Neurospora crassa OR74A: one gene and its partners. The protein of the gene in region 3 purifies or fractionates together with the protein of the main gene of each other region. This does not show direct contact. Links are inferred from orthologs where the notes say so. Each region holds a gene or a part of one and is shown on either strand. Other genes may lie near its edges.

Region 1 (3,663 bases), on a different chromosome or scaffold from region 3:
AATGTAGAAAAGATAGTGGTGAAAGTGTGCGAAGGGGCACACTGGGGTAGCAAGGTGGGCAATTGTCAGCTTAAAGAGCTTGTATAGACATGGAGAGGCCTTGTGTGGTCGGCAAGCTGAGATGAGCGATTGCGAGCTGTCAATATAGACAGGGTATGGTGGGAACGGAGGGGGATTCGAAGAAAAGAGGAGAAGAAAAAGAGGCAGAATCTCAGGCAGGAACAGGTAGGTAGATTTGGGGGGGGGGGTGCCGCATCAAGTTACTACCTCTACTTACGACGGGATACCTCTAGTACAACTTGGACAAAGTTAAGCGCGCTGCCGCAGGTTTACTCCAGGTTTAGGCCTGCTCCTCTCATTGGCAAATAGCAACCGCTGGTCACCTGCAATCAATCAGTCGAACCTCTGAGGACGGGACTCGGTCGCCTTGGACCAACATACCTAACCTCTTTGCTTATCCTGTTAGTGTCGACCTAGACGATGGCTGGCAAATTTTTGGGTAACGAATCGGGGTTAGGTATGGGGGGCTCAAAAAGTCCACTTCAGAGGACAGCTCTCGTTGACAAAGGCGGGCAACTTGCAGGACACACTGCAGTTTCTGTGTGTCAACCACGGAGATTAAAACTTGAATTTGATTTTACGCCCAAAATACCTCTACGTTCTAACACATATCGAAACAGGATATACCACGCGGGTAATACTGCCATTTGCAAATGTACTTTCTACGTGTGCCTCTATTGTTGGTTAACATGTTCCAACGAAGAAAAACTTCGCACGAAACTCTCAACTTCCCGTCCCAACAGGGATGTTTATCACTGCATGTTTGTGTCCACCATTGGATGTTCTCGATGCCTTCGATGTGGGTGATTGGCTCCGTGAATGCGTCCCGAACAGCAACGTGGTACCCATGGAATTTCCCAAGGCACTAGCTATGAGTTGCGCATTCCCTGTGTGGGACCTTTTAAGAAAAGTTATTGAAAAGGTAAGTTCCAATGTTCTGTGCACGATATTCTACAGTGCATCGATACGCATGGTGACCGAGGCTCGAGGCCCGTGAGGTTTGGGTCCTGGGAGAAAAAAAAAATACCTGGGGATCGTCTCACTGTGATTCTGCAGTGCATATCCGCGGACCGCTGCAGACTCGAGAGGTGGGGGAAGTTGACGAGAACGGAAAGAAGGGCAACGGGCTGCAAGACGCACGAGCCACCCACCATTTCACTCTGAAACACTGAAACGTTCTAATTTTGGAAAGCGGTCAGATGGGGCACTATGTGCGTATGACCACCACTTGTCCCTCGCAGTCGGTAACCAAACAGATTTGTTCCAAATTCCACATCCCACTTTTCACCGTCCAAAATCTCCGCGCCAGCAGCAACTGGTGAACAGGTTTGGACATCAACGACATTTAACAAGTTATATATGTGTGGTAGCAGGCTACCTCGACTAACTTAATCATCATCTGTCTGCGCTTTGCGCTCAGCTGAAGCTTGAAAGGTAATTCCTGCGCTCTTTTCCGCTCTCCCTTTATCAACCGTCTCTTTCCTTTATGATGATCTTTTTATTGGAGCTGTCTGTAGCCTGCTATGTCTGGCGTTTGATGACAAACTTTTACATACGCTTTTTTTATCTGATGTGTACCGAGGACAACCTACACTTTTGCACTTGCCATGTCTGTATCGCAGAAGGGAACGCATTGATAACTAACATTGGCATCTTGCGCTTTCTAGGTCTTTCCAGTCAAGCATGCCACATCTGCCACAGTAACAAGTTACCTGCAACTGCCGGCTATGTCTGCTGTAGATACCCCAACTGGTGCCGCGAGCTCATCGAAGCCGGACCAGAATGAGCAGAATGGTCAAAACGGTGGGCGTGAAGACTCTGGCGGCTTCAAGCTAAAGTTTTGCACCGTCTGCGCCAGTAACCAGAATCGGTGAGCAATTTTACGCATCGCATCGTCACGCAACTGGATGACCCCGTCTAACCCTCACCAGCTCCATGGAAGGTCACTTGCGACTCTCTCTTGCAAATTATCCCGTGATTTCGTTTGGTACAGGCTCTCTTGTCCGTCTCCCCGGGCCGTCCATTACACAGCCCAATGTCTACAAGTTCAACGAAACATCATACGATAGTATATATCGGGAGTTGGAAGCCAAAGACCCTCGCTTATATCGCGCAAATGGACTGCTAAACATGCTTGGGAGAAACCGCCAAGTCAAGTGGGGCCCTGAGCGATGGCAGGACTGGCAGATTGGAATGCCTAGAACCAAGCACAAGGATGACAAGGGAGCTGATGGCATGGAGGGCGGCGTAGCTGATGTTGTCATCACCTGTGAGGAACGCTGTTGGGATGCTGTGATTGAAGATCTTCTCAACCGTGGCTCGCCACTTAACAGGCCTGTTCACGTCATCAACATCGATATCAAGGATAACCATGAAGAGGCATCCGTGGGAGGGCGAGCCATTGTCGATTTGGCAGACTCACTCAACAAGATTGCTGCCGAGGAGCGGGAGAAGGTTGGCGCTTCTGCCTTTGACTCGGGAAGCGTAGGCGCCAGATCAGGATTCGATGAGCGCGTACCGGACGTCCTGGCCGAGTGGCAGGAGAGATGGCCGAATCTTCCTGCGACATGGACTTTGGCTTGGTTCTAAGCATTGAATTGGCGTATTGTTTGAGCTCGTGCATCGTAAGGCGTTGGATGTTCTTTTTATTGCCTGGCGGGCGTAATCGCGGTTACGGACAGGGTGGGGGGTACATCTTTTTGGGTTCATGATTGATGACCAAACAACACAGACGAACAAGACGTTTTGGCCGTCACAACATAATGCTGATTTGGACTCGTAATCTCTATCAACAAGCCGTTGTTATCCGGGATTTATGAATTCTGCTGCTGCCATGATTGGCTTCAACTTGCTATTTTGTGAGGTCGCACCCCTCCTGGTTTTCTCAGAATATGTCGACCTCCGTGATTTGGCAGGCCATTTCCTCTTCCACCAGCCAGACCGCCAATTAAGCATTTTGTTTGTTACGCATATGCTTACTTCTATCACAAACATAATAATATCGCATGCATACATGCTCGGAGATGGGAGCTCATCGGCCCACCTGACGAGTACCCTGCATGGTATCCCAAAAAGCATTTTAAGATGACGAGCCGCACGGTTCATTATACGCAACATTGGATGCAAAGAAAACATAGCAGAATTTTGGAGATCTTCCTTGCTTATTGGGATCTGGGGTACTCAACGGTTGCCAGCATCTAGAAAATATCGAAACATGCACAACCGGGCAACCGGCCGTGCCCCCGCAGTGAGCAGGCCTACTTGTGACAATGCAACTAAACGCGCGAAGGTCAAAAATGAAATACATGGGGCTGTGGTGGCCATTGGACACACACTTGGAAGACGAAGACCATTAAGGTTACTGCTAATGCATGTTGTCACTACCTATCATGTTGGGGTGTTGGGCGGGAGTGCCCGAGGTCGAGGTGGCATTTGATGTGATGCGGGTATGCCTACATACCCATGTGGATAAATCTCAATATCTATATCGTCGGTCTCAAGTAAGAATTGCATTGTATTTCGGCAGACGATTGCCGGTCTTGGGCTGTTTCACAACGAGACGTTTTAGTGGAATGATAAACCACTGCAGCGGCGCAGAGTCGA
Region 2 (3,449 bases), on a different chromosome or scaffold from region 3:
CATCCGGAATTTTTTCGAGACCGACGAACTCCTTGTCGCTGAACACAGTCGGTTTGAACTTGCCTTCGGCAATCAACTTCATGATGCCCTGCCACACGGTCACCACCGTCTCCTTCTCATGGACAGCGTATTGGCCCCAGTGAACACCGACGAGGCTGATGTTCTTGAGAAGAACCTTGTTCATGGCCACCTTCTCGATCTTGCCGGCAGCGAAACCGACAATCAGGATGCGGCCATTCCACGCAGTACATTTGGTGCTCAGATCTACCAGGCCGACAGGATCGTAGACAATGTCAACACCCTTGCCTTTAGGGGTCAACTTCTTCACCATCTCGGGCCACTTGGGGTCCGTGTAGTCGACGACATGATCAGCGCCAAAGGACTTGGCGACTTCGAGCTTGTGCTTGGTTCCGGCCGTAGCAATGACAGTTGCTCCAAACGCCTTTGCAACTATGTGTGGGATTAGCAACGAAGTAGTTCATCTTCGAGACGGGTATGTATGCCACTAACCTTGGACTGCGGCAAGACCTACACCACCGGCCGCAGCGTGAACAAGGACGAAGTCGCCCTTCTTGACGCCGGCCCGAACAACAAGGGCTCCATAGCTGGTTGGTGCCGTCACAAAGAGGCCGGCAGCATCCACAAGCGACCAGCCTTCGGGAGCTGGGAGGAGGGCCGTCTCCTTGGCTTTGACTTTGGTAGCGTACGCACCCTGGCTAGCTCCAAACACACGTGAACCGACGGGGAACTTGGGGTCCTTGAGGCCGGAAGGGGTGGCGAGAACCACGCCGGCGAACTCGGCACCTGATACCCAGGGGAATGCTAAGACGCAACGTCAGCATACTGAATGCAATGTAAGCGGGACTCAATAAAGAAGCCGCACGTGGTTGATTCTGGTATTTGCCCTGAATCTGAAGAATGTCGAAAAAGTTGGTTGCCGCAGCATGAACTTCAATCAAGTACTCATCTGAAGTAGGTGTAGGGTCTGGAAGCTCCGTGACCCTGAGCTCTTGCGGGCTCTGAGTTAAGGGCTAATGTTAGAACCACGAAATGGGAAGATGTCCTGGATGATCGAGATAGGACATACCTTAACATACTGTGCCACCTGAATGCCTCTCATCTGGGAAGGATACCTGGAGTAATAGAGTGCTTTGTTACACTGGAAAGAAGCAGACGCAGAAACACCGAGTGAGATACACAAGCAGTGAAAGAATGACAACCTATATGATTAAACAAGGGTACAATATGGTTGAACAAATGCCGAATAGCCATCGCGGGGGTGACCGCTAGCCCAGTGTAAGGGAAGCCGAGGTAGCCCAGACCGGGATAGCTGATCTCTGATTGGTCACTCACCTTGCATCTCTCGGTGAGTCCACGTCTTATCGATTTCCAACAATCGATTTGCGACTTGTTGCACTCTTTCTCTCCAAACTCTCAACCACACCTTGCTTCAATTTTTTGAATGGCGCAACCTGCTGTGCGAACTTCTCCCGACCAAAGCCGAATTTGAAACTGGGCAAACGCAGCAAAGAATACGACTCTTGGTTAAGCGTGCATAAACACAAGCCACGCGCATTCTCTAGGCAAGATTCATTACGACTGGTCGCCCAGCTACATACCTCTCCGAACCGATCGTGAACCGCTCGCGACAAAACAAGCCTACCCACCTTGAAGCCCGAATCGCACCGGCGAACCACCTTTTTCCCCCCCTCACACATCCGCCGAGATGGCGACAACAACACAGACAACAACAAACTCCCTCCCCTCTGGGGCAGGAGGACCGCAACAACTCGTCACTCAGATGCTCAACCACACCGCGCCACACTATACCTTCTCCTTCACGCCCTTCCTCCAGCGCACGTACCAGCACTCTCTCCCCGCCGACCGACCCATCTGCAAAGCCTACGCCTCAGGCAACTGCCCCCTCAAATCCCACTGCCCCGAGCGCCACGTTACCGCGTCGTCCCAAAACACCCATGGCGGCGGTAACACCTTCAGCGGCGGCTTCGGCTCGCTAGTCTGCAAGCATTGGCTGCGCGGCCTCTGCAAAAAGGGCGAATCGTGCGAGTTCCTGCACGAGTACAACCTGCGCAAGATGCCCGAGTGCAATTTCTTCGTCAGGAACGGGTACTGCAGCAACGGGGACGAGTGTCTGTATCTGCACATTGATCCGCTGTCGAGATTGCCGCCGTGCCCGCATTACGAGAGGGGGTTCTGTCCGCTGGGACCGCGATGTGACAAGAAGCATTTCCGGAGGAAGCTGTGTTTGTATTACCTGGCGGGCTTCTGTCCGGATGGGAAGGGCTGCAAGGAGGGCGCGCATCCGAGGTGGACGGCGGATAAGGATATGGAGAAGCCGAGGGCGAAGGGGGAGGGAGATCAGATGCTGCTGCAGCAGCAACAGCAGCAGCAACAACAACAACACATGGGCGATGCTAATGGTATGGGTGGTGGAATGGCGCAGGCGACGGGCGCGAATGAGTATATGGACCGAGAGAGGGAGCGCGATCGGGATAACAGGGAGAGGGAGATGATGATGCAGGGACGCGATAGGGACGGTGGCGGGCATGATCGCCATAAGGATCGCTTTGGAGGCGGAGGAGGAGGAGGAGGAGGAGGCAGAGGCCGAGGAGGATGGAGGGGAAGAGGAAGGGGAGGATTTAGGGGTAAAGGTCATTAAGAGAACATTGGTCCCAAAGCGGCCAGGGGAGGTCAAATGGTACATGAACATAGCGACATATTTAGGCTAGTGCTCGGACGATGAGAAGGCCCAGGAATCCGGTAGTAAAGACCAGGTATGCATCACGGAATAAGGAATAGGTCACGGCGCAAAGGCAAGGTTATATCTAGTGTATTAGCTGTAGGTCAGGTTTACATTCACAGGGTTTGTGAGATTCTTATAAAAATTGCTAGCTTGACAGTTTTGAGGAGCTGTGATCTGTATGTTCTTCCAAAATAGACTGAGAGGGACGAGATCCCAAAACATGAACGCCGCTCCCTACCTAGGACACCCGTAACCAAATGATAATCAACCCACCGTCTGAGATGCTATGGCATATGCCATTCTTGTCGACACTGCCTTCTTTTGTACTCTTCCAAACTATTCCCATGAAGACTTTACTCCATCGGCACCGCAACAAACAACTCATTCGATGTGCGGGCCCCAGTCCCCACCTCCTCCTCATCCCCATTCTCGCTTCCCATAGACCTCACCGAGCCACCCGACCTTGGGCTATTAAACGAGCTATGACTCGACTGCCACGCCGCCAGCTCGTCCACCGTCCGGATACCCATCATCCACGCCACCAGCCCGCGCGGCACCCAGCGTCCGACAAACCCATACACGCTCGCGCCGAGGCCGACGCGCACAGTGCCCTTGGTAATGGACCCGTCAATCACGTCAAAAACAGCATTATGCAGCTCCCGCAACGAGCTGCCGCGCATCCCGC
Region 3 (4,110 bases):
AGCTAAGCATCACCTATGACCGCAGAGGACTACCTGGATCTCCAAGATGCCCAAGATTCTCGACAGCCTGACTGAGGCTTTGCGCATTTGCTGTCGAGCTCCCAGTCTCACTGATCTTGCGGATACACGTCGGCGGCTGAGTCGCTCGAATATTTTGCTCGTTGTTGACTGGATATCCGTTGCCTGTCGACCTGTCTTTATACTCCTTCGCTTCGAGCTGTTGTAATCATGCATACCGGGTGCTTGTGCCTGATCTAGGTGTAGGCCATGTAGCCAGGCTGCCCTGCCTATCATTGCGTTTGCGGAACCTGATGCTGATGGTGGGGGGAAACGAGCAAAGAGGACAAAGCCGGAATACCAATGCAAAGTAACAACAAGGCGACCAAGAAGGCATTCCCGTCTTTGCTATTGCCGTGTACATACCAGGTAAGGTGTCACACTCACAGTCCACTATCTCTACACAGGGAGGGGGAAGTTGGAGGGTTGGGAGAGATGGAAGTTCCAGGCGACACCCACCAACGGGATCGCAAGCGGCTTTTAGGCGAGCCAATCCCAGGCCTAGACCTGCCAAGGAGGGTCCGGTGTTCGGGACTCTTGCTAACAGAAGTGCTCGCAGTTGCGGGGGAAGGCAGCGCAGCTCCTACCCAGTCGCGTTAGTGAGCAACATGGACCGACCTATCATCATACCTGCTTCCCCAGAGGCGAGTGCATGCAATTTTTCTCGAGCCAAGTTGGAAGGGCCGCTTCACTGCAACTGGAAAGGGCACAAGGGCTCGGCCAGGATCTGACGGAGATTCAGAGCGGGCGCGAAACCTAGGTAGGTACCTACCTACCTGGCTGGCAACCTAGGTACCAACTACCTAACCTAGCTCACCCAATCTGAGCCTGTCCTTGTTTGGGTTATTTCAGCCGTAGGTAGGTATGTTTGAGTTTAAGTTGAGGGTTGTTCTGGCCTGCCATCGCGTCGGATGTTTCGAGTTTTTTTCGTTCCATGTCACTGAGTGCTGTCCTGTTCATTCCATCGATGTGGATGAGAGCCCAGTCGGCGGAAAAGATCACAACTGCACCGAAACCCGACCCGACCGGACGCCTGTTGTGGTTGTTGTAACGATAACCTGACTGGCAGGCACCGAGGTGACCTGACCTGGGCTTGAAAGAACGCGGACCTGGACCTGGACCTGCCTGCCTACCTCTACCTACTGCTCTCCACTGCTAGTAGGTAGTCTGGAAGCCCTGTGCGTTTCATTAGCTGCGTTGCGTGCGTGTAAATCTTGCTGCTCCATCGGCCCAGTAGCCCAATCCCTTCTCTGCGTCCCCGTCCAGTCCAGTCGCCAGTCTTCTCTACCTACCTACCTCTACCTAGCCCATCGCCCGGCCGGACCCCCCCCCCCCAGCAGCGGGCAGCCCAAGTGGAAGCGTCTGCGCTTGTCCGTCTCCTCCCAAAAGTCTCTAAGCAACCACCACCGACGTTGATTTTTTTCTCCCGACGCTTTCTATCCCAACCAAAACAGGGCGACGTCTTTAACCACAAAGAACGCGCATTTTCAACCCCACCCTGGCGATAGAAGTCCTATTATCATAGGCATCATCTCGCGGTATCTCGTCTTCTGGCCTCCGTCGCTCAATTAGACGCAGCTTTTTCCAGCGACCCTCCGACCGGCCCAGCGCTCTGTACTGCACCTCGCTGCAGCACTTTGCACTCTCCCGGGCAGTCCATCGACCAGTTTTTCCCGACCGTGGTTTTGGCAGTGGCAGTGACAGCCTCTCCCGCAGTCTCAGGACTACTTGAACTCCCCTTCTACACCCGACCTTTTCGAACCCAGATTTTCGACGACGACACGGCGTTTTGCCCCAGCCCCGTCCGCGCGACAAAAAAAAAAAAACACGTTACCTCACAAAGGACGATCAGAGACTTCTGGAGCCGTCTCCTTTTTCCATCATTGCTAACCCTCTTGTCGCCGCGTACTACCGGACCGATTTCTTCGCAATTCCGACGAGATTTGCTTGCGCTTGCTCTAGACCGTTCGCACCTCCGCCAAACCCAGTGACGATTTACTAAAACCAAAGCACAACATTCGGTATCCGAAAGAATACCTATTTCCAGAAAAAAAAAACACCAAAAAAATCACCGCTTGCTGTATTCCCAAGGAGAACGCGTTCGCCTCTCCAAAAAAAAAAAAACCCCCAACAATCGCTTCTTGCTGGGATCGCTTCTGAGCGTAAGTTGATCAACTGCCGTTACATTGCGGCTTCCCAGTCTCTGCCCAGCCGTCGCTCCTCCTTCATTTTCCCGCCATCGCGATCGCGTGCGGCAAACCCCAATCAGAATCTGCGTCGTCATTGGCAATGTCTAACGTCTTGAATTAGTCGTTTAGCTTTGCAGAAGTGCATCTACCCCAGTTTCCTACTCCTTACGCGTGCCGCTCTTTTAGACCCGTCCCATCCGACTAGCTGGGGTTTGTCGGTCGTTACCGTGACTTCGAAAACCTGTGCGCGGTATCTCTCCGGTTGGTGAGGATTTTGCAATGGCGGACCATACCGAAGTCGACCTCGACTCTATAATCGACCGCCTCTTGGAGGTGCGGGGCAGCCGGCCTGGTAAGCAGGTGCAGCTGCTGGAAGCCGAGATTCGCTATCTCTGCACCAAGGCCCGTGAAATCTTCATTTCCCAGCCCATCCTGCTTGAGCTCGAGGCTCCTATCAAGGTAAGCATTGTGTTCTTTCTATTATCCCTTTACATAGCCTCGGCATGCGCCATACTGCCCCTTCGGCAGTGTTCATAGCTGACGTCGTGCCCCACCTCCCTAGATTTGCGGCGATATCCACGGTCAATACTATGATCTCCTCCGCCTCTTCGAGTACGGTGGCTTCCCTCCTGAGGCCAACTACCTCTTCCTAGGTGACTACGTCGATCGTGGCAAGCAGTCCCTGGAGACCATCTGCCTGCTCCTCGCCTACAAGATCAAGTACCCCGAGAACTTCTTCATCCTTCGTGGCAACCACGAGTGCGCGTCCATCAACCGTATCTATGGTTTCTACGACGAGTGCAAGCGGAGGTACAACATCAAGCTTTGGAAGACCTTCACCGACTGCTTCAACTGCCTACCGATCGCTGCCATTATCGACGAGAAGATTTTCACTATGCACGGTGGTTTGAGCCCGGATCTGAACTCAATGGAGCAGATCCGCCGAGTCATGCGACCAACTGACGTACGTTACACCATTCATGCCCGGGCTTTCCGTTTGCTCAGGCTAGTTGCCGTAACATGAGACACTAACAATAGCGCCAGATTCCTGACTGCGGTCTTCTTTGCGATCTCCTGTGGTCGGATCCCGATAAGGACATTACTGGTTGGAGCGAAAACGATCGTGGTGTTTCCTTCACATTCGGCCCGGATGTCGTTTCTCGCTTCCTCCAAAAACACGACATGGATTTGATCTGCCGTGCTCACCAGGTTGTTGAGGACGGATATGAGTTCTTCTCGAAGCGCCAGCTCGTTACTTTGTTTAGTGCCCCCAACTACTGCGGCGAGTTCGACAACGCTGGTGCTATGATGAGCGTCGACGAAAGTTTGCTCTGCTCTTTCCAGGTATGTTTTTCTGACTTTGGCAAGCTCCGAGACCCTTGCACTCTTGCTAACCCCCTTTGCAGATTCTCAAGCCCGCAGAGAAGAAACAGAAGTACGTTCCCAGTCTCAGATGAAGCAATTCAAGACCCCCAAGAAGCACAAGTAAAGAATTTTCTTACGAACACACCCGTTTTCCTTTAGGTTCGGCCGCCGATAAACGTCTGATACTTTCGCCCGCCCGCAACGAACATGAGTATCTTACCGTCAGCTTGTCTACCGCCGCCATGTTTCCTGATCGCCAGGGCTCCCAGCCATCATCCCGTCTGCCGTCTGTTCCGACCACTTCTTTTGGGGAGGTCCTCGCCCCTCCTGCCGTGCCAACGAAACGAAAGCCACGTCTGCCCGTCCTGTCTCTCCATCCGTCCGGTCTCCACACAACTCGAGAGGGTAGGAAGGAAAGGGAATCTTTTTATATCTCGGGGGATGAATAACGAACGACCTTTTCTTTTTCTTGTCTGGTCACTACTCCTGCTAGGAAAGG
Region 4 (4,338 bases), about 1.7 Mb from region 3:
TGGGTGGTCGATGGAGAGGCGCGGAGTCGGCGGTGCGATGGTCCAGCTTCGGGTCCTCGACGGCCGGGTCGGTGCTGCCGTGGATAGGCTTGTCGGAGGAGAGCTCGATGGCGGTTTCGGCGGCGACGATGCCGCCCATGGAGTGGCCGACTAGAACGACGCGGACCGAGGGATCTATGGTGGGCGATGAGGTTCCGGCGGCAACTTCGAGGTCGATGACTTTATTCATGAGCCTGTGATAGCGAGGGCGACCCATGTTAGGGATGGTTCGGGGCTTCAAGCATGTGACAGATGAAGGAACGGATGCGGTCGATGAGCACATACCAATCTCGAAATCGCGCTACGCACTCGCCCAAGTCCCCTCGAGTCTCATATTTGGGATATACCACGACGTTGACGTTTATCTTGGGTAGGTCGGCCGCGACAAGTTGGCGGAGGTGCTCGGTGAAGGCATAGTTGTCGCCAAAGGTCGACTCACCTCCCTTTGCATGACAATGTCAGTTTGATCTTGGCTGGCGCGTCGCTTAATCTCATTGTACATACCTTGAAGCCGTGGATGAAGCAGAGAAGTAATGTCTTTTTCATCCTTCCCCATTGAGACTAAGCAAAGTGGAAGTGGTGCAAAATGGATGTAGTGTAGGGGAGGCCGAGAGAATCCAGATGCGACACCCATGTAAACTTTCAACGTTGCCCCGGCTGTTACGGTGATCCTCCATCTAGCGGCAGCGTCATGTGCAGGGGCCTGCAGGGCCAGTGTGGGGGCGGGGCCGCGCTATGGAAGGGACCTCCCAGGGGAACTCCAGTGGATGATGCATGGACACCTGGTCCGGTCTTGCCCTTGCTTGCCGCTTGGGGCCAGATCCCATCTTCCACAGGGGCCGCGGCAGCTTTGAAATGTCATCTGTTCTCCAAATCCATACTTCTACTCTATCGTCATTTGACCTTCACTCCGATGGTACGTACCTAGCATTAGACCAAAGTTGAATTGGTACTTACAGCCGATATAATAGAATACGTCCCTGAATATTAGACCGATGTTTACTGCAAAAATGGAACTGATTCTGCCAACTCACCTGTCCCCATGGCGTTACTCGAATGTACTGTAAGATGCCCAGAAGTGGACAGACGGACATCCTACGCCTACCTACCTAGGTACTTGAAGGAACAGGTCGGGTTGTCTGGGGAAGACCTTCTTCTACCTGAAATGCGGCAGTCCAGCGGCCTTTGCAATGTGACGATTGAGCTTTTCAGAGCTTGACTCCCTGAATTGTCGGAACCAAGACACCAAAACCTAAGCCAACATGATACCCGTCTTATTATGGTGGGGGTACCAAAGTACTTGAATTTCAGTGGAGATTAGGTATCCCCGTGCGGGTCCCAGGATACTCGTCAGAGGTTTACGGGTGATTCCTGCAGGTTGCATTTCAAGTTGCAGTGTCCAGCGTCTCTGAAATAACAGGACATTGCTTCGCGCCAATCATGCTGCCAGACTTGTGGTGAGTGGGAGTCCGTGCTCAACACCCAGGCTGAACCGAGACGCGCCGAGTCGGCGACGTGCTTTTTGTCTTCTGCGACAACCTACCTAACGCAGCCCCTTCATCCATCCCCATCGATCACCCTGTCTGGTTTCGGCTTCTCCGACTGCCCCAGGGTCGATATCAGAATCAATCAGCTATCCGGTATCACCATCTTTCGAATCAACAAAAAGCACAGCATATCATGACCTGAGCGTTCTTTGCCTTACGTGGAGCTGCTTGGTTCCTTCTGTTCAATCCCATCATAGACTTCTATTTTCGCCCGTCAGCGTTCTCTCACTGCGCCTGCGCTCCTCTCTTTTGCGCGCGCGATCCAGTTTTCCTCTTGTCGCGACCAGCGTCATCGATCAGTCCTGCACGACATATTTCGTCTTCGATACTCTTAGCGGCGCATCCAGCACGCTTCCTCGTCCCACCGCGCTTCGTGCCACCATGTCGAACCCCGAACAAACCTTGGGCGTAACGCCTCCTATCTCGACCACGCTACCTACCGACGCCGAGAAACGACAGACCGAGGCCCTTCTCAAAGAGCTGCGCGCGCAGGGCACCTTCGAAAGTCAGGCCGAAACTGATAAGCGATGGGCGGTGCTCGCAGATCTCCAGCGCATTACTGATGAATTCGTGAAGAGGGCCGCGCAGGAAAAGGAGCCGCACAATGCCATTTTGATTCGCGACGCTCGAGGCAGAATATTCACATATGGCAGTTTTCGCTTGGGTGTGTATGGGCCAGGATCCGATATCGATACCCTCGTCGTTGTACCCAAGTACGTCACCGTCAAGCAATACTTCGACATCTTTCCCAACCTTCTTGTCGAAATGGCTCCCCCTGGCGCCATCACCGACCTGACTCCAGTACCCGAGGCCTTCGTTCCTATCATCAAGTTCGAGTATTCGGGCATCAGCATAGATCTTATCTTCTGTTCAATCCAGAGCCTTCGTCAACTTCCTGACGACAAGGACTGGAATTTGAACAGTAACAACCTCCTGCGCGGCTTGTCCGAAAACGAGGTGCGCTCGCTCAACGGAACACGCGTAACCGACGAGATCCTTGCGCTGGTTCCCGAAGAGAAGACGTTCAAGCTGGCACTTCGTGCAATCAAGCTCTGGGCTCAGAGAAGGGCTATCTACGCCAATATCATGGGTTATCCTGGTGGTGTGGCTTGGGCTATGCTGGTCGCCAGAGTATGCCAACTCTATCCGAAGGCGACGAGTGCTGTCATCGTCAGGAAATTCTTCACTATTATGCTCAACTGGCCATGGCCGCTCCCGGTTCTTCTGAAGAATATCGAATACAACCAGTCCATTACGCGTGTAGCGGTGTGGAATCCCAAGGTAAGTCAACCCCTCATCATTGTCGCGCTGATGTCTCACCACAGACTAGATATACCCGAGTGATCGCAATCACAAGATGCCCATCATCACCCCATCATACCCTTCCATGTGCGCGACACACAATGTTGGAAGGTCTTCAATGGCGGTCATTCAACAGGAGCTGGAACGGGGGGTGCAGATTTCCGAAGAGATCATGTTGGGTAAAAGGCCTTGGAAAGATTTGTTCGAGAAACACACCTTTTTCACCAACGGCTTCAAGTTTTACCTGACGGTCATCTCATCCGGCAGGACCAAAGAGGCGCAGAATACCTGGTCGGGCTTCGTCGAGTCAAGAGTGCGTGTTCTGGTCCAGAAGCTTGAGCTGCACCCTTCCATCGCCCTTGCCCGCCCCTTCAACAAAGGTTACGACAGAGTGCACCGATGCAAGACGGATGCTCAGGTCGAAGAGATTCAAACCGGAAATCTCACATACATGGTCAAGCCGACGGATATAGCCGCGAATGGGAGCGCCAAGAACGACAGCAAGGTTGAGGTCAAGGCGGAGATCAAGACGGAGGATGGTGTTGCACGGGAGCCGACTGTGCCGGCTGTCAAGGAAGAACCGAACGACGTGGTACATCTAGGAACGGTACCTCTAAAGCCTGAGGACAACTCTGTAAAGCCTGAGGCCAACGACTACGACGAAGACAAGGTTAAGCTGGAGGATATACCGGAGAAGGAGCCGGAGCTTGAGATTTACACCACTAACCATTACATCGGCCTGCAGCTGGTAGAGGGAGCTAAGTCTCTGGATCTGTCCAGAGAAGTCGACGACTTCAAGGCAATGTGCACCTCGAACGACATCTTCAAAGCAGAGTTGATGGGATTGACTATCCAGCACGTTAGGAATTTCGATCTCCCCGACGACGTTTTCGAGCCTGGAGAGACGAAGCCTGTTAGGCCAGTCAAGAAGAAGAAGCGTATGGCCGAAGGGGAACATGCGAACGGCCCGATGGCCAAGCGACAACAGATGGCGACCGCGCCACCGACCATTAAGAGCGAACACTGATCGAAGGATGTACAGACAGATTTTGTTGGCGGTCACGGACAAATTAGTTGCTATGTGCGAGCAGTACCACGCGCGAGGTGTAGAGAAATGTATCTAAGATAGAGTTGCTAAATCTGCTAGACTAATAAATTTAGTTTTTCGGGGCACAAGTGCCCCATCAACTAAGCCAAGTTTCCATCTCGCAGTGGTCTTTGCGTCCGTGACTTTTCATCTCACTTCTTGCTCTATTATACATCATCTTAACAAATTCTTTGCTGCGTCGATTGCTTCTGCTAATGAATTGAGCTGTTAGTTCCGTTGTACTCGGGGGAAAACGCCATATGCGCCTCAGTATGTCAACGTCAAAATGCCAGCAGCCAATCAAAGCTTGCACGTTCGCCCCCGTAGATCGTCGGTCGCATGTCCTACAAATAGATACACAGT
Region 5 (4,119 bases), on a different chromosome or scaffold from region 3:
CCGACCACTCTTTTTACGACCTTTCCCTTTGGGTTCAGTGGGTTTCTGGGTTACAGTTAGTCGTCAGGTTCCCAACCAATGCCCCGAATGCGGCACGCCAGATGCTGTAGGATGAGATTTTGGATCTCACCTAAAGGTCACAATCATGCCGCGCTTGAGGTTCCGGTCCGGGTACCACTTAGAGACCAGTACGATGTCCCGACGTGTTGACTCATTGTAGTGCGGGTTGAAGAAAGGATACATGGACGGCCCCTTGATTTGTGTGATCTCGGCAACCCAGCCGTTGAAGACCACCAATGGAGGGATCCATGTTGCGTAGCGAATGAGGTAGTGTGAGAACTGACCGAGGAATCCGTTCCGAATTCCTGCTCCCCATCGCGCCGCCATCGCTATCCGACCAAGCGAGTTATCGAGCTACCGAAGATGTCAATGCGATGCAACTCTTTGCTGTGAATCGCAATGCTGCTGTGAAATAGAGGGCGTATGTTCGCCTCAACGTGCTCAGTGAGCAGGGCAGTGAGCAGTACGGAGCTTGTGTGTTAACATGGAGAAGACAATAATTGCAGCCACATGCCCGGGCAGGCGGCGATAAGAAAACGATGAGATCGCTTATCAGCCCCGGTAGCTGCATATCCTTGAACGCCTAGATCTACCTAGTTACAGCAAGTGCATCCATAAAATGACTATGTATCCATATCAAGTCTTGTGTTCATCAATCCTCGTCCCTCGCTCACATTCATTAGGCATACGCTTGATGCAATCTTTTGGTTGATTCCTCTACCGCCTGAAGGACTTTTGTATCCCCTAGACGCCAGCCCTGTGTCGCAAAAACTGTATACATGCATCCCTAAACCTTTCCTCAAAATAGTGTCGAGTATCCCAATGAGCCTGCAAAGATAGCTCCGTTTAAGAATGGCTGCAAAATGAAGAGGCGCTTTAGACGGTCTCGGGGATATTGTCGTCGGACTCGCTGACACTCTCGTCGCCGCTGACCTCAGCGTTCTCACGCTCACGCTTCTCCATAAGAGCTTGGAGCTCAGCATCATCGGACTCAGTGACAGCCTTGGGCTCCATCTTCACCACAAGGTGGCCACCAGCAGCCTCGATGCTGGTCCGCATGTCTTGAATGGCCTCCTGAAGGCGGGCAATACCGGCATTCTTGTCCAAGCAGGTGTTGGTAAGGCTGTGTATAGTTATTAGCTTCCACTCTGTCTTCAACATTGCAAGACTATTTCTGGCAAAGACTTACACATAAAGGGGAGGGGACACAAGTCTGCACTTGACCTGGGTTTCCTCAGTGTTGCGAGCCTCCGCAGTGCGGAGAGCGGTCTTGATAGCATCGATACCCTCGTAGCCGAAGCAAGTGACCTCAACATCGGCACGGACCTTGGTAGGCTGGGGAGTCAAACGCTTGCTGATGTAGGTCTTGAGCTCCTCGGCAACGGCCTCGGTGGGGAACTGGATGTCATTCCAGACGTCGGGGTTGCTTCACATCCATGTCAGCATCTTGTCCAATACCGCCATTTTGTCCCACAGCTGTACGCCTATTTCCCGGAATGACGTACGTGATCGAAAGCTTGAAGGCATCAAGCGAGTGGCCGTATTTCTTGTTGAGGGGCCATCCTATTGTCTCGTAAAGCTGCTCGATGGGAACAAGAGTCTTCTCGGCAACGTGGCGCATAATCGAGTGGACGATCTTGCTCTTGTTGTAACGCTCCTCGCAACGAACGATATCCTCGGGGGACACACGACGCTTGGACAAATCGATATAACCCTTCTCCTTGTCGACACGGAGAACGACGACGACCTCGTTGCGACCGACACGGATCAACTTCTGGATGGAACGAATACGTCTTCTGGAAAGCTCAGAGAGCAGGATCATGCCGTCGATGTTGTCGTACTCGAGAAGCTTGACGTAGGCGCCCATATCGGCAATCTAATCTGGGGGTCAGCTCTGACGCATCCACATGCGCATGCGCACCACCGGGACCCCAGTGTATCGTACTTGCTTAACATTGACCATAACGAACGAGTCGATTTCAGGATACTTCTCCTCATAGAAACGGCAGTTTGAGAGCGACATGTTGGCGACTGGTGCCTTTTCCCGGGCGGGGCAAACGGTGAAATAAGTGGTGGTGTTAGTGGTGTTGAAAGGGGGAGGGTAATGTCGGCGACGAGCTTCGCGACAATGGGCGAGATGGAATTCGAGTGGATGGTCTGGAGGGGTTGATGGCCGAGAAAGAAAATTGACCGAGTTTCGCTGCAAGTGGCCACAGCTGGGAAAGGTCCTCTGGAAGTTCGAGTTCTGGTTGCGGCAGCGGGTTCTCGGAGGGTCCAGCGAGGCTCAAAGGACTCACTCAAAGTTAGCCAGATGCGTCGCAGTATTTTTCGGGTACCAACCAAAAATTACGTGCAGACAGGCTGCAAAAGTGGCGTGGGCACTTTGGGAGGGAACGAAGTAGGCTGTGGCTGGTGCGCCGGATTGAGGGGTGAATTTCACGTTCTGACCGTGACGGCAAGTGAGACGCGGCTCCATCTTTTTTTTTTGAGGTGGGGTAAGTCGGGTACCTAGGTAAGGAAGCGCACAGCAGCCCAGGTGGGAACAACGGTACGCAAAGGCAGGTACCTGCTCTCGGTTAGGTACCTCTACTTACTCCACCTGCCCCGAACTCCACTGTGCCAAGCGCCAGCTCAGTGGGCAGGAACAACGACGTCAATCGTGAACCGACAGTGGGGTTAGTCACTGATAAGCCTGGAATCTTCCTTGGACATCGTCGAGCTAGGGAGCTTCAATCACTGAACCTTGCTTGTCCACCAACGGCGACTTGGAGATTCGACTTTTGCACGGCACCCAAACGAATCCCGAGGGCCGACCAACACCCGACGACACTGGGCTCATCTAAACCCTCCGCACATGTCGTTACTTTTGGAGGAGCTCACCCGTTTCGCTTTTCTCGACGGTCTCCGTCTTGGGTGACAACACTTGGACCGATATGAAAAAGAACAGAGCGACGACACCGCAGACCAGGTAGTAAGAGTTGGGTTTCAACCACAGGCACATCGGGGAGGGGACAGCTCATAGGTCTTGATCAGGTTGCGACGGTACTTTTGGGGTTCAGACACGCTGATCGATCGAACACCAACTATTCTTCACGACCATCCCCACGACGACGGCGCGACACTACCGCGATACCTACAACCCTATAAAAAAAAGGAAACACAAAAACAAAAACATACATACACACTCTCTTCTTTCTGTCAGAACCGATCTACACGACGGGCTCGCCCGGTAACTCTTGGCTTGCTTGCTTGGTGCTTCAGGCTTCTGAAAATGGAGTCTCTTAGCAACCTCGGCAACGCCATGAGCTCGGTGCTTTCCGAGACAACGTCCACGACTGCGACGGCAATCCTCGCCGATCCTACAGAAGCCCTCTCGTCTGTCGTCGCTCTCGCCAGCGATGCGGTCTCGAAAGCTACTAGCGATGTGGTTCCCGAACACACCCCGACTTCATGGTTCACCATCATCCTCTGGCTGTTGCACCGCATCTCGAGTGTGCTATACTTTGTCATCAAGCTGACCACCATCACTACACCCACCTTTCTGTTCAACATCTTTTCGACTAGTCTGACGGTGACCATGAACGCCACTACGCTGTAAGTCATCCGCCAGCCGCATTTTGTATACATGGACTCAAGGCTGGTGGATCTAACCGTCGGTATGCTTAGTGTGCTTATTATGTTGTTCATGATGGCAGGAGTGACCTGGGTAGTCAGATATCGCTACTTAAACATGTACTCACGGCTTCCTCCTGAGCCCCAGCGCAAAGAGCCAGCTGTTGATCTGTTCCCCGAAACACAGGAGGAAGGAGTAAAGTCTGGGCTAGCTAGCTACTTTGACGAGTTTCTCAGCGCCATCAAAATCTTTGGTTATCTGGAAAGGCCGGTTTTCCATGAACTGACCCGCAGCATGCAAACGAGGAAGCTGATCGCTGGCGAAACCCTCAACCTCGAAGAAGAGCAAGGATTCTGTCTTGTGGTCGACGGTATGGTGGAGATCTTTGTTAAATCCGCCAGAGATGGTCGACGCTCAAGCAGTGGCCCTTCGTTCGAGAGCGACGA
Region 6 (4,373 bases), on a different chromosome or scaffold from region 3:
AAAGTCAGCAATAGTAATGGGTATAATTGGCATTGTCTGATGATCAGATGTATCTGCAGAGCTTCAACGCTTGCTTCCACAAGTATAACGACAGTCCACATGCATTCTACACATGTCTGTAATTCTTCACCACCAATGCAACGCAAACTGTGCAAGAACGAAACATACCCCTTTATGCTAGTGTTCCCATACCGTAACGCCAAAAGAGCACTGTGTCCACCCCTGGTATCCCAGATTATACCGAAAAAATAGGGTATCGAGAATTGTGCTGCCGTCGCCTTTGACTCGAGTACCTCATCACCACGGTCGCCTGTCTGCCTCCCTCATACTGATACTGGCGTAGCAGCTCCTATCCAACCGGCAATGTTGAATAGCGTCTTGTTATACCATTGGACCTTGACCCCGTGCGCCCACTCCATGTACCGTCCCCAACCTGCCGGGCCATGTTAGCAACTGACTTTCCGCATCGTCGTTATTGTCTCCTCCCACAGCGCAAGCTGTCTTTCCCAAGATCTGGTTTTGGTTTGTCTTACTCCAATAAGCAAACTTGCGCCCCAAAAACTTGCCCGCGAACGGTATTAGCACCAAGTTCAAGAGAAGCTGCAGCTGCTCGAGACTCTGTTCCCATTCCTTTTGTGCGTCTGATTCGTCGTCGTACTCGGAGTCGTCCGAGCCTAGGATACTGCTGGAGATGGACGGGAGGGAGTCGACATCGTCGTTGTCGGTTGACGGGGAGTGGTCGTGGAGGACGTAGGAATCGGAGGGGGTGGACATGGTTTTGGATGTCCCGAATGCGCAATTTGTCTGTCTGAGGGTATCGCGTCTCTGGCCGGGAGTAGGTAGCTATCGTCAGTGTGGTTTGGATGAGGCGAGCAAGTGGTCGGCGCCGGCGCACGGTCGGTTGTCGCGGTGAAGATGGTACTGTAAGTAGCTATCGTAGCTCGGGCAAATTGCGATAGTTCGGGATGGAGACACTGTACGAATCGGCGTAACGCCTGACGTGTAGGATATTGTAGAAATCGCGTGGGACGAACTTGATTGCTGCTGGGAGATTCGTTGTCGGTTACGAACACAGCGATACACGGAGATGGATACCTCTACGGACTCGGCGCGCCTTCCAAGGTTCGTGATGGAGCTGGTTGTTGTCGGTGACCGATGACGGGCCACGGCACCAACTGCTGCAGCAGTGCAGCTATGCGATGCTGGAATGGACACCACTCACCTATCGCTGCCGCCAAGCACTGCACCGGACTGCAAGTGCCAGTGCCAACCCAACCGTGTCGGACTGTGCGGCCGTGGCTCGAGCGGGTTGAAGGCACCGTGCTGCAGGGAGGAGGGCTGCATGGCCTGGAAAATGGAGAAGCGGAGGCGATTTGTAGTTGCAAGTGGCGGGCAGCTGTCTGAGCTCTTCCCACCCCACTTGTCAGGTGATTGAGAAGACTGACTCACAGTTTCGCTTCAATCAACGTCATGAGGTGAACACAGCTGAGGCGTGGTGCCGGTGCCCCATCCAGAGCCGTGTGTACAGAAAGAACTCCGCTCAGTCTCCAGCCCAACGACAGAACTAAACGACAGTAGTAGTAGGTAACCAGACCAGGACCCAAGCGGCATCCAACTACCTAGGTCCCCGCAAAGAACAATTCCAGGTCCGAAACTGAAAGAAAGCTGAGATCAGTCTGCCTGCATCGATACCTCTCCCGACCCCAAAGTCTACCTAATCTCATCCATCGACAAAATCCACTCTCTGCGACCAACAAAGAGTCCACCGGAAGAGACATCGATTACAAAGAAAAAGACGGACAATCACACACCTACAGACAGACAGACAGACACCACCACACTCTCAAACACACCAGTGGCCCAGCATGGATTCTGAAGTAAGTACCTGGGATGGATCTCCTTGCTTCAGTACACACTCACTACCTCTACGCCCACACAACACACCCTCCGTCCTCCCCGACCCTACCACCACGCTAGAGGCAGACACCTCGAGCCCTGGGGGGAGCCACGCTTCTCGCCTAGTCAAAAATACTAAGGAAATAAAAAGTCCCATTCACCACACTGCACACCCCTCACTGTACTTTGCTACCTACGCAGTGCAATTATACCTATCCCCGGCCCCAGCCCTCAAGTCCCCTGACGTGTACTGCCCCTCCAAGGCGCCAACCCTCTCCCTCCACCCCCAGCCCAAAATCCACCATAAAGTTCTGGCACTCTGCAGCGCGAAAACGCCGCCAATCATCCCAAAAAATTCCGAGCTTTCCTATCCACACTCGACGGCGAAATCCTTGACCGCTATCGCGACTCCCACGACAAGCGCCTTATCCACTCCGATATACTAACCCTTTAGGCGCCCTCTATCAAAAGACGCCCCTCGCGCAAGTCTGTCACCTTTACCGACGAGAAGCTAGTTGTCAACCCCGACGGTTCTGTCACCATGGACGCCTCTCCCGCCGACGAAATCAAGGAGACTGCCCAGTCCCACTCTGCTCGTACGCCGCCCCTCCACGCCGCTCTCGGGGCCTTTACTGATGCCCCCCAAGCCACCGAGCCCCAGGATGCTGCTGCTGCTGCCGCCCCCGCCGCCGATGATGGCCTCGACCTTTCGCTCATGAAGAAGAAGAAGAAGAAGGTCAAGAAGGAGGACGATGCCGACGCCGCTGCTGATGAGGCCGCCCCTGCCGAGGGTGACGGTGCTATCGACCTCACCATGAAGAAAAAGAAGAAGAAGAAGGTCGTCAAGGAGGATGATGAGTTCGCCAAGAAGCTGGAGGCTCTCAACATTGAGGGCAAGGAGGGCGAGGAGGCCGCCCCCCAGGAGGACGAGCAGGAGGGCGATATGGACCAGGGCACCGGCATTTGGGCCCACGACGAGACCAAGCCCATCAGCTACAACGCTCTTCTGTCCCGTTTCTTCGCCCTTCTCTCGCAAAAGAACCCCGACCACGCCTCTACCGGTACACGGTCGTACAAGATCCCGCCCCCGCAGTGTCTCCGTGAAGGCAACAAGAAGACCATCTTCGCCAACCTGCCCGAGATTTGCAAGCGCATGAAGAGAGCCGACGAGCACGTTACTTCTTACCTTTTCGCCGAATTGGGTACCAGCGGTTCCGTCGACGGCAGCAGGCGTCTGGTCATCAAGGGTCGTTTCCAGCAGAAGCAGATCGAGAACGTTCTGCGTACCTACATTATCGGTATGTCTATTTGATCCTGTCGTCGTTTGGACGTTTTGCGCCCAAGTAGACAATGTCACCACCAGCACCCAACGTTTTGCTCTGACTACAAATGCTAACATGCTCAACAGAGTACGTTACCTGCAAGACGTGCCGTTCCCCCAACACCGAGCTCTCCAAGGGCGAGAACCGTCTTTAGTAAGTTGGCCTCTGTTTACGACGACCATAGCCCCAAAATGCTGACATGTCACAGTTTCATTACCTGCAACTCTTGCGGTTCTAGGCGGTCTGTCCAGGCCATTAAGACCGGTTTCTCTGCCCAGGTCGGCAAGAGAAAGAAGATGCAGGGTTAAGCGGTTTTTGTTTTCTTGTTTCGAGGCCCTTGCAGTTTGCTTTTCAATGTTTTCACGCTTCAAGGACGGAGTTAAGACGGCATTGTATATGGCTGGTTGGGCACGGGTCTTTTACGAAGTAGCACGGCCCCTCTGAACGGCAATCTCTCATCTCCAGTACACGAGAGAGAGGATGGAAGAGAGAGTCTGTGCTACAAAATCAGGTGAATTCCTTACGCGGTAGGGTACGGGTTAATATGACGATACTTGATGAAGAATTGGTACACAAAAAGTTCTGGTTTTTGATGATGGTGGCACACTTATCCTTACTTTGCATAGGGAGTCTGATAAAGAGGAGGGCTTTCTTCTTTTCCTGAGCTTGTCTGATTTATATGGATGAGGGCTGCGAGGTTGTATCTAGACTGATGTGGGATTCAGAGGTTCTCAGGTCATTCATGACCATGGTCAGCAAGCTAGACTGGGAGAGCAAGGAAGAGGCTGACTGAGCGCAGGATTACGAAGCGATGGATTTTGAGATCTTGCGAACAGGAATTATTCTCTGTTCTTTGCAGTATGTATAGCCATTCAGTCTACCTTTATAAACTACATTATGTTATCGAAACTCAAAGTGGCAGTTGAGTAAAATGATAAACCTTGATACTCCGCGATTGGTGAGAAAAAGCGGCCGCTTAGGTTCGAAATCTCACCTTGACGCGTATACATTGCGTATACACTACGTTCCGATGTTTTGGCGATCGATCCATGATATGCCGAGCACATGCATGATAGTTAGCTTCGGGAGAATCTTTCCCCTCCACATTTTGCATCAACAAACCCATATAAGACGATGGGCCGCAGGCAACAACTC
Region 7 (4,296 bases), on a different chromosome or scaffold from region 3:
CCCCTAGAACGCCCAACTGTTCGACACAGCATGTGTCGACATCTTTGCCTTTATGAGCGGAGAATACTTCGAAATGGTAAGGGAGGGGATGGAACCCTTGCCTATTTCCATGTTGGCGCCTAGTGTGGAGATCTTCTATTACATAGTTCAGTGCAATATTCAATGGTTCCAATTGATGATCCGCGGTCAACAAACCTACCGCTAGAGGAAGTGATAATGATAGCTGACTACCCCCCCCCCCCCCCCCCCCCCCCCCCCCAAAACGACACAAAAAACATCAGCAGAGTCCAACTATTTATCACCCAATCCCTCTGATAGCCTCCATAGACATCCGCTTTGAAGTGGCACCAGGAAAGCTTGACATCGTCTTGATTCCGGGACCGGAATCCTTAGCTTGACCTCTAAGAGGGCCCAGCCGCTCTGTCGTGGCTGGCAGGGCATGCGAACAACACCAGTAACAACCAGACGAAAATGACAGACATCCTAAGCGTCTACTCAGCCATCTACCTCTGCGGTGCGGCCGGGATACTCAAAAGCAAGCAAGCCTGTGGACCGCGAGAGTTGCAAGGAGATCTGCGGACGAGATTCGAGGACCAGGACGTTATTCGGGTGGCGGAGAAGTTGAGGTGGGTGGGGGATGGGAATCTTTGGCTTATTCTAGTGGTTTGTTTTCATCCCTTCCTGACTAGGCCCAGAAGACTGGGCCGACATTCGATGAATACTATAGGAGGCGTAACCAACGGCAATGATCTCGTTGCGGCTTACGCGAGGCAGAGCCGTCACTTCCCGGGCCCAGTGGCTAAGTCGGGATTGAAGCTCGTTAAGGTGGATGAGAGGCCGCAGAGATATGAAAATCGAGACAAGATCTAGAGACGATTGCGTTGATGATGGGATGACTGTGGCATGCTGGGTTATCAAGGTGTGCCTGAAGGTTCAGCCAGGGGCTTACCTAATCTTGCTTTGAATCCCTCAGAAATGCTTTCGTTGGTGAATCCTCTCACTCAGGTGGAGTGAACCGTGAGCCTGGGGGACCGATGTGATGTGGGATGGCATCGCCGGGAGACTCCAGACATGTACCTGTGGTGCATGGTGTTCATTCTTATACCTCCCACCTGATGCACTTTGCTCTGGCACCAATGAATCCTGCAGATGGCAAAAGATTGCAGTCCCGCGGCGACCACCTTCAAACCTCGAGTCGGTGATGACGAGTTGCAGTTTGAACATCCCGTCGTCGCAAGGTTCCCATGCCAGCTCTAGGCACATCAAGCGTCCGCGCACGACGTTAGCGCGGAGCTTGTCGAACTCTTCCCCGCTTTTGTTAGCAGACCGGCCTGCATTGACCGACATACCCTTGCTAGCTTGGCTTGGGGAGCGGGAGAGTGGCAGTGAACCGATAAGGAAGTCTTATCGCTACAGTAACAGACAGTACAGACGGTGGGGTGCCGAAATTTTTCTGGATTCCAAGTGCAGTTCGCCTGAACTTTTCCTGTCGACCGCCCTCGTCCTCGATCGCATTTTCTGCCTTTCCCAAGTCAAACTGGTCGCATCCATCTTCAGACTTTTTCTACCCAGCCCATTCATCTTCTTTCAATCTTAGAAGTGTATACTTCCGACGACGACTTCGAGTTCCTGTCTCTTTAGTTTTCTTTAAAATCTAGACTTTTTGATACCCCGGCGCAAAGCACCACCCAATCTTCACAATGGCCCCCCTTATGCCTGTCGCCGTTTTTGGCTTGGAGGTTCCTCCTGGCGAGATCCTCATTCCCGCCGCCTCTGAGTTCCCTGCTATCGTAAGTGCACACTTTTCGGAGCCTTTGGCCCTCTCCTTCGCAGGCAATGGCGCTCCACTGGACTGGGTTACACGGAGCTAACGACATGAATTCCAGATTCACATCACCATGGCCGCCCTCGATCCCACCAAGGCTCCTGAGGCTGACGGCCAAGGCAACATTCCCGCGCTCCCCCGCTCGACCCTGAAGATCATCAAGGCCACTGGCCACGACCATGACGACGATGATGAGGAGGAGGATGAGTACCTCCAGTCCCTCCTCGGCGGCGGCGACTCTGACGACGAGGCCAACGGTGGTCCCAGCGACCCTTCCAAGTCCAAGAAGGCCAAGCAGGAGGCTGCCATCAAGAAGCTTATGGCTGCTACCCAGGAGGAGTCTGATGAGGAGATGGAGGATGCCAAGCCCAACGGCAAGAAGGGCAAGGGCAAGGGCAAGGCCAGCGAGTCCGACGAGGAGGAGAGCGACGAGGAGAGCGACTGCTGCGGCGATGATGACCTCCAGCTTGAGGACTACGTTGTCTGCACCCTTGACACTGAGCGCGTAAGAAGCCCCATCCATTCGGTGAACGTATTTTTGAGTTCTTGGAGCTAACCTGATTCCCCATATACAGAACTACCAGCAGCCCATCAACATCACCATCGGCGAGGGTGAGAAGGTCTTCTTCTGTGTCCAGGGTACCCACTCTGTCTATCTCACCGGTAACTTCGTTGTTCCCGAGGATGACGAGGAGGACAGCGAGGATGATGAGGATGAGTCCGACGACGAGGATTACGACTTTCCCCTTGGTGGCGAGGATGACGATTCCGACGATATGAGCGACGAGCTCGACGAGCTCGATGGCACCCCCCGTGTCAAGGAGATCACCTCGGAAGACGAGGAGGAGGAGGCTCCCAAGCTTGTCGACACCAGCAAGAAGGGCAAGAAGCGCCCCGCCGAGGACGATGCCGAGGGTCTCGATGCCATGATCTCCAAGGACGACAAGAAGCTCAGCAAGAAGCAACAGAAGAAGCAGAAGGTTGAGGAGGCCAAGAAGGAGGAGCCTAAGAAGGAGACCAAGTCCGACAAGAAGGTCCAGTTCGCCAAGAACCTCGAGCAGGGCCCTACTGGCCCTGCCAAGGACAAGCTTGAGAACAAGAAGCCTACCTCTACCGTCAAGGTTGTCCAGGGCGTCACCATTGATGACAGGAAGGTTGGCACCGGCCGTGCCGCCAAGAACGGTGACCGTGTTGGCATGCGCTACATCGGAAAGCTCCAGAACGGCAAGGTCTTCGACTGTAAGTCTCACTTTTCCATCACTCTCACAGTATTGACTAGAGACTAATATTCAATACAGCCAACAAGAAGGGTGCCCCGTTCTCTTTCAAGCTCGGCAAGGGTGAGGTGATCAAGGGTTGGGACATCGGTGTTGCTGGCATGGCTGTCGGTGGTGAGCGTCGTCTCACCATCCCCGCGCACCTTGCCTACGGCAGCCGTGCCCTTCCCGGCATCCCCCCCAACAGCACTTTGATCTTCGACGTCAAGCTCCTTGAGATCAAGTAGATTGTGACGTTTCGAAGCGTGGGGTAGGAAGGCTTTGGCTAGCGTCGCGATTTCTATGGCGGTTGTCATCCACAACCTTTCGTGTTCTATGGCTAGCAAGTCTTGGGATTTCTTTGGTCAGCACATATTTCCTTGCGCTCATGTTGGGTTTGGTCAAGGAAGTGGGAATGTCATTTCAACAGCATAATGTCAAAAGTATTGGGTCTGGATTTCTTTCTGTACTTTGGGTTGTACATCGTTCATGGGGCACGATCTATTCTATATTGCGTCTATCAATTGCAAAGGCGCAACATTTCTACGTTACCTACACTCGACTCGGACTTGGCAAACTTGGATGTTTCGAGATGTCGAGGAAAGTGTCTTTGATTGACGGACGGTAATAACTTCCAGGAAAGCGTGACAGTTGGCTACAAACACTGGCTTTCTTCAGAATTGAAGTCGTACCTGCCCTGTCTGTGCCTCAAGAGGTCAGTGTTGTTGACCTGGGGCAAGGGAGGCACATCTAATGGGTAGGTAGTTCAGGTGATGCATAGGTATGGAGCTACCTTACTCCGAGTCGTCCTCTCTCACTGCACCTTGTCGTATTTCAACACACTGACAAAGTCCATCCACGTCTTCCCACCTCCCCGCTCTGCTTCCATCTCTCAATAGGTATCGTCATTGTATCTTTCACTATCATCATAGCCGCCGCGACTCCCGACTGCCGCCAAACTAGGCATTGTGCGTTACGATCGACCAACTTAGACGCCGCAGCGGTTTCTACCATTCAATGGACAGGACCGAGCTTGAGACATGAAGAGGAGCTCTTCCCAAACATCAAGTCATTTGGGTACCGCCATCCCGGTTTATCGTCCCACTAAGCCTGACGACTGCTCGCCTAGGTCGTCTCTCGCTTCTTCTTCACCCAGTCAAGGTGCCCATCGCCCATCGAGATCTCACTGGCAGAGGTCAAGGCTTGGTCTGGCTT

The links.
Region 1: the proteins of pph-3 (region 3) and NCU03114 purify together in Saccharomyces cerevisiae (affinity purification with mass spectrometry; 3 studies listed by BioGRID). This does not show direct contact. The link is inferred for Neurospora crassa OR74A from reciprocal best matches to the Saccharomyces cerevisiae genes GLC7 and SSU72.
Region 2: the proteins of pph-3 (region 3) and NCU08353 purify together in Saccharomyces cerevisiae (affinity purification with mass spectrometry; 3 studies listed by BioGRID). This does not show direct contact. The link is inferred for Neurospora crassa OR74A from reciprocal best matches to the Saccharomyces cerevisiae genes GLC7 and YTH1.
Region 4: the proteins of pph-3 (region 3) and un-17 purify together in Saccharomyces cerevisiae (affinity purification with mass spectrometry; 5 studies listed by BioGRID, with this or other methods). This does not show direct contact. The link is inferred for Neurospora crassa OR74A from reciprocal best matches to the Saccharomyces cerevisiae genes GLC7 and PAP1.
Region 5: the proteins of pph-3 (region 3) and NCU08277 purify together in Saccharomyces cerevisiae (affinity purification with mass spectrometry; 4 studies listed by BioGRID, with this or other methods). This does not show direct contact. The link is inferred for Neurospora crassa OR74A from reciprocal best matches to the Saccharomyces cerevisiae genes GLC7 and SUI2.
Region 6: the proteins of pph-3 (region 3) and NCU04640 purify together in Saccharomyces cerevisiae (affinity purification with mass spectrometry, with the first as the bait; 3 studies listed by BioGRID). This does not show direct contact. The link is inferred for Neurospora crassa OR74A from reciprocal best matches to the Saccharomyces cerevisiae genes GLC7 and SUI3.
Region 7: the proteins of pph-3 (region 3) and fkr-4 purify together in Saccharomyces cerevisiae (affinity purification with mass spectrometry; 4 studies listed by BioGRID, with this or other methods). This does not show direct contact. The link is inferred for Neurospora crassa OR74A from reciprocal best matches to the Saccharomyces cerevisiae genes GLC7 and FPR3.

What each region holds. Positions count from the first base shown.
Region 1 is NC_026501.1:4,604,543-4,608,205, forward strand, and holds NCU03114 (SSU72), read left to right. Parts: upstream 1-1,329; 5' UTR 1,330-1,494; intron 1,495-1,727; 5' UTR 1,728-1,787; coding exon 1,788-1,930; intron 1,931-1,991; coding exon 1,992-2,649; 3' UTR 2,650-3,080; downstream 3,081-3,663. UniProt on the Saccharomyces cerevisiae protein: Component of the cleavage and polyadenylation factor (CPF) complex, which plays a key role in polyadenylation-dependent pre-mRNA 3'-end formation and cooperates with cleavage factors including the CFIA complex and NAB4/CFIB.
Region 2 is NC_026501.1:5,654,076-5,657,524, reverse strand, and holds NCU08353 (mRNA 3'-end-processing protein yth-1), read left to right. Parts: upstream 1-1,406; 5' UTR 1,407-1,726; coding exon 1,727-2,680; 3' UTR 2,681-2,917; downstream 2,918-3,449. Other genes in the region: NCU11325 (alcohol dehydrogenase), read right to left, coding at 1-450, 511-822, 884-1,019, 1,088-1,120; NCU08354 (hypothetical protein), read right to left, coding at 3,118-3,449. UniProt on the Saccharomyces cerevisiae protein: RNA-binding component of the cleavage and polyadenylation factor (CPF) complex, which plays a key role in polyadenylation-dependent pre-mRNA 3'-end formation and cooperates with cleavage factors including the CFIA complex and NAB4/CFIB.
Region 3 is NC_026503.1:2,384,633-2,388,742, reverse strand, and holds the start of pph-3 (serine/threonine-protein phosphatase PP1), read left to right. Parts: upstream 1-1,256; 5' UTR 1,257-2,219; intron 2,220-2,367; 5' UTR 2,368-2,525; coding exon 2,526-2,705; intron 2,706-2,808; coding exon 2,809-3,210; intron 3,211-3,290; coding exon 3,291-3,590; intron 3,591-3,652; coding exon 3,653-3,681; intron 3,682-3,770; coding exon 3,771-3,786; 3' UTR 3,787-4,110.
Region 4 is NC_026503.1:4,130,931-4,135,268, reverse strand, and holds un-17 (Poly(A) polymerase), read left to right. Parts: upstream 1-1,407; 5' UTR 1,408-1,967; coding exon 1,968-2,867; intron 2,868-2,916; coding exon 2,917-3,915; 3' UTR 3,916-4,138; downstream 4,139-4,338. Other genes in the region: NCU08984 (hypothetical protein), read right to left, coding at 1-233, 325-482, 544-585. UniProt on the Saccharomyces cerevisiae protein: Polymerase component of the cleavage and polyadenylation factor (CPF) complex, which plays a key role in polyadenylation-dependent pre-mRNA 3'-end formation and cooperates with cleavage factors including the CFIA complex and NAB4/CFIB.
Region 5 is NC_026504.1:2,569,548-2,573,666, forward strand, and holds NCU08277 (eukaryotic translation initiation factor 2 alpha subunit), read right to left. Parts: upstream 2,521-4,119; 5' UTR 2,084-2,520; coding exon 2,006-2,083; intron 1,937-2,005; coding exon 1,566-1,936; intron 1,487-1,565; coding exon 1,250-1,486; intron 1,184-1,249; coding exon 937-1,183; 3' UTR 546-936; downstream 1-545. Other genes in the region: NCU16791 (mitochondrial inner membrane protease subunit 2), read right to left, coding at 1-45, 131-387; NCU08276 (hypothetical protein), read left to right, coding at 3,332-3,654, 3,727-4,119. UniProt on the Saccharomyces cerevisiae protein: eIF-2 functions in the early steps of protein synthesis by forming a ternary complex with GTP and initiator tRNA. This complex binds to a 40S ribosomal subunit, followed by mRNA binding to form a 43S pre-initiation complex.
Region 6 is NC_026505.1:1,363,884-1,368,256, reverse strand, and holds NCU04640 (eukaryotic translation initiation factor 2 beta subunit), read left to right. Parts: upstream 1-1,499; 5' UTR 1,500-1,865; coding exon 1,866-1,877; exon of another isoform or gene 1,878-2,350; coding exon 2,351-2,492; intron 2,493-2,543; coding exon 2,544-3,194; intron 3,195-3,304; coding exon 3,305-3,371; intron 3,372-3,426; coding exon 3,427-3,526; 3' UTR 3,527-4,173; downstream 4,174-4,373. Other genes in the region: NCU16952 (hypothetical protein), read right to left, coding at 324-433, 534-774. UniProt on the Saccharomyces cerevisiae protein: Component of the eIF2 complex that functions in the early steps of protein synthesis by forming a ternary complex with GTP and initiator tRNA.
Region 7 is NC_026501.1:5,029,194-5,033,489, forward strand, and holds fkr-4 (FK506-binding protein 4), read left to right. Parts: upstream 1-1,441; 5' UTR 1,442-1,700; coding exon 1,701-1,790; intron 1,791-1,886; coding exon 1,887-2,330; intron 2,331-2,400; coding exon 2,401-3,064; intron 3,065-3,123; coding exon 3,124-3,329; 3' UTR 3,330-3,969; downstream 3,970-4,296. Other genes in the region: NCU16390 (hypothetical protein), read left to right, coding at 472-626, 690-870. UniProt on the Saccharomyces cerevisiae protein: Proline isomerase that belongs to an abundant class of enzymes that catalyze the cis-trans isomerization of X-Pro peptide bonds and can accelerate the refolding of proline-containing polypeptides. Specifically binds nuclear localization sequences.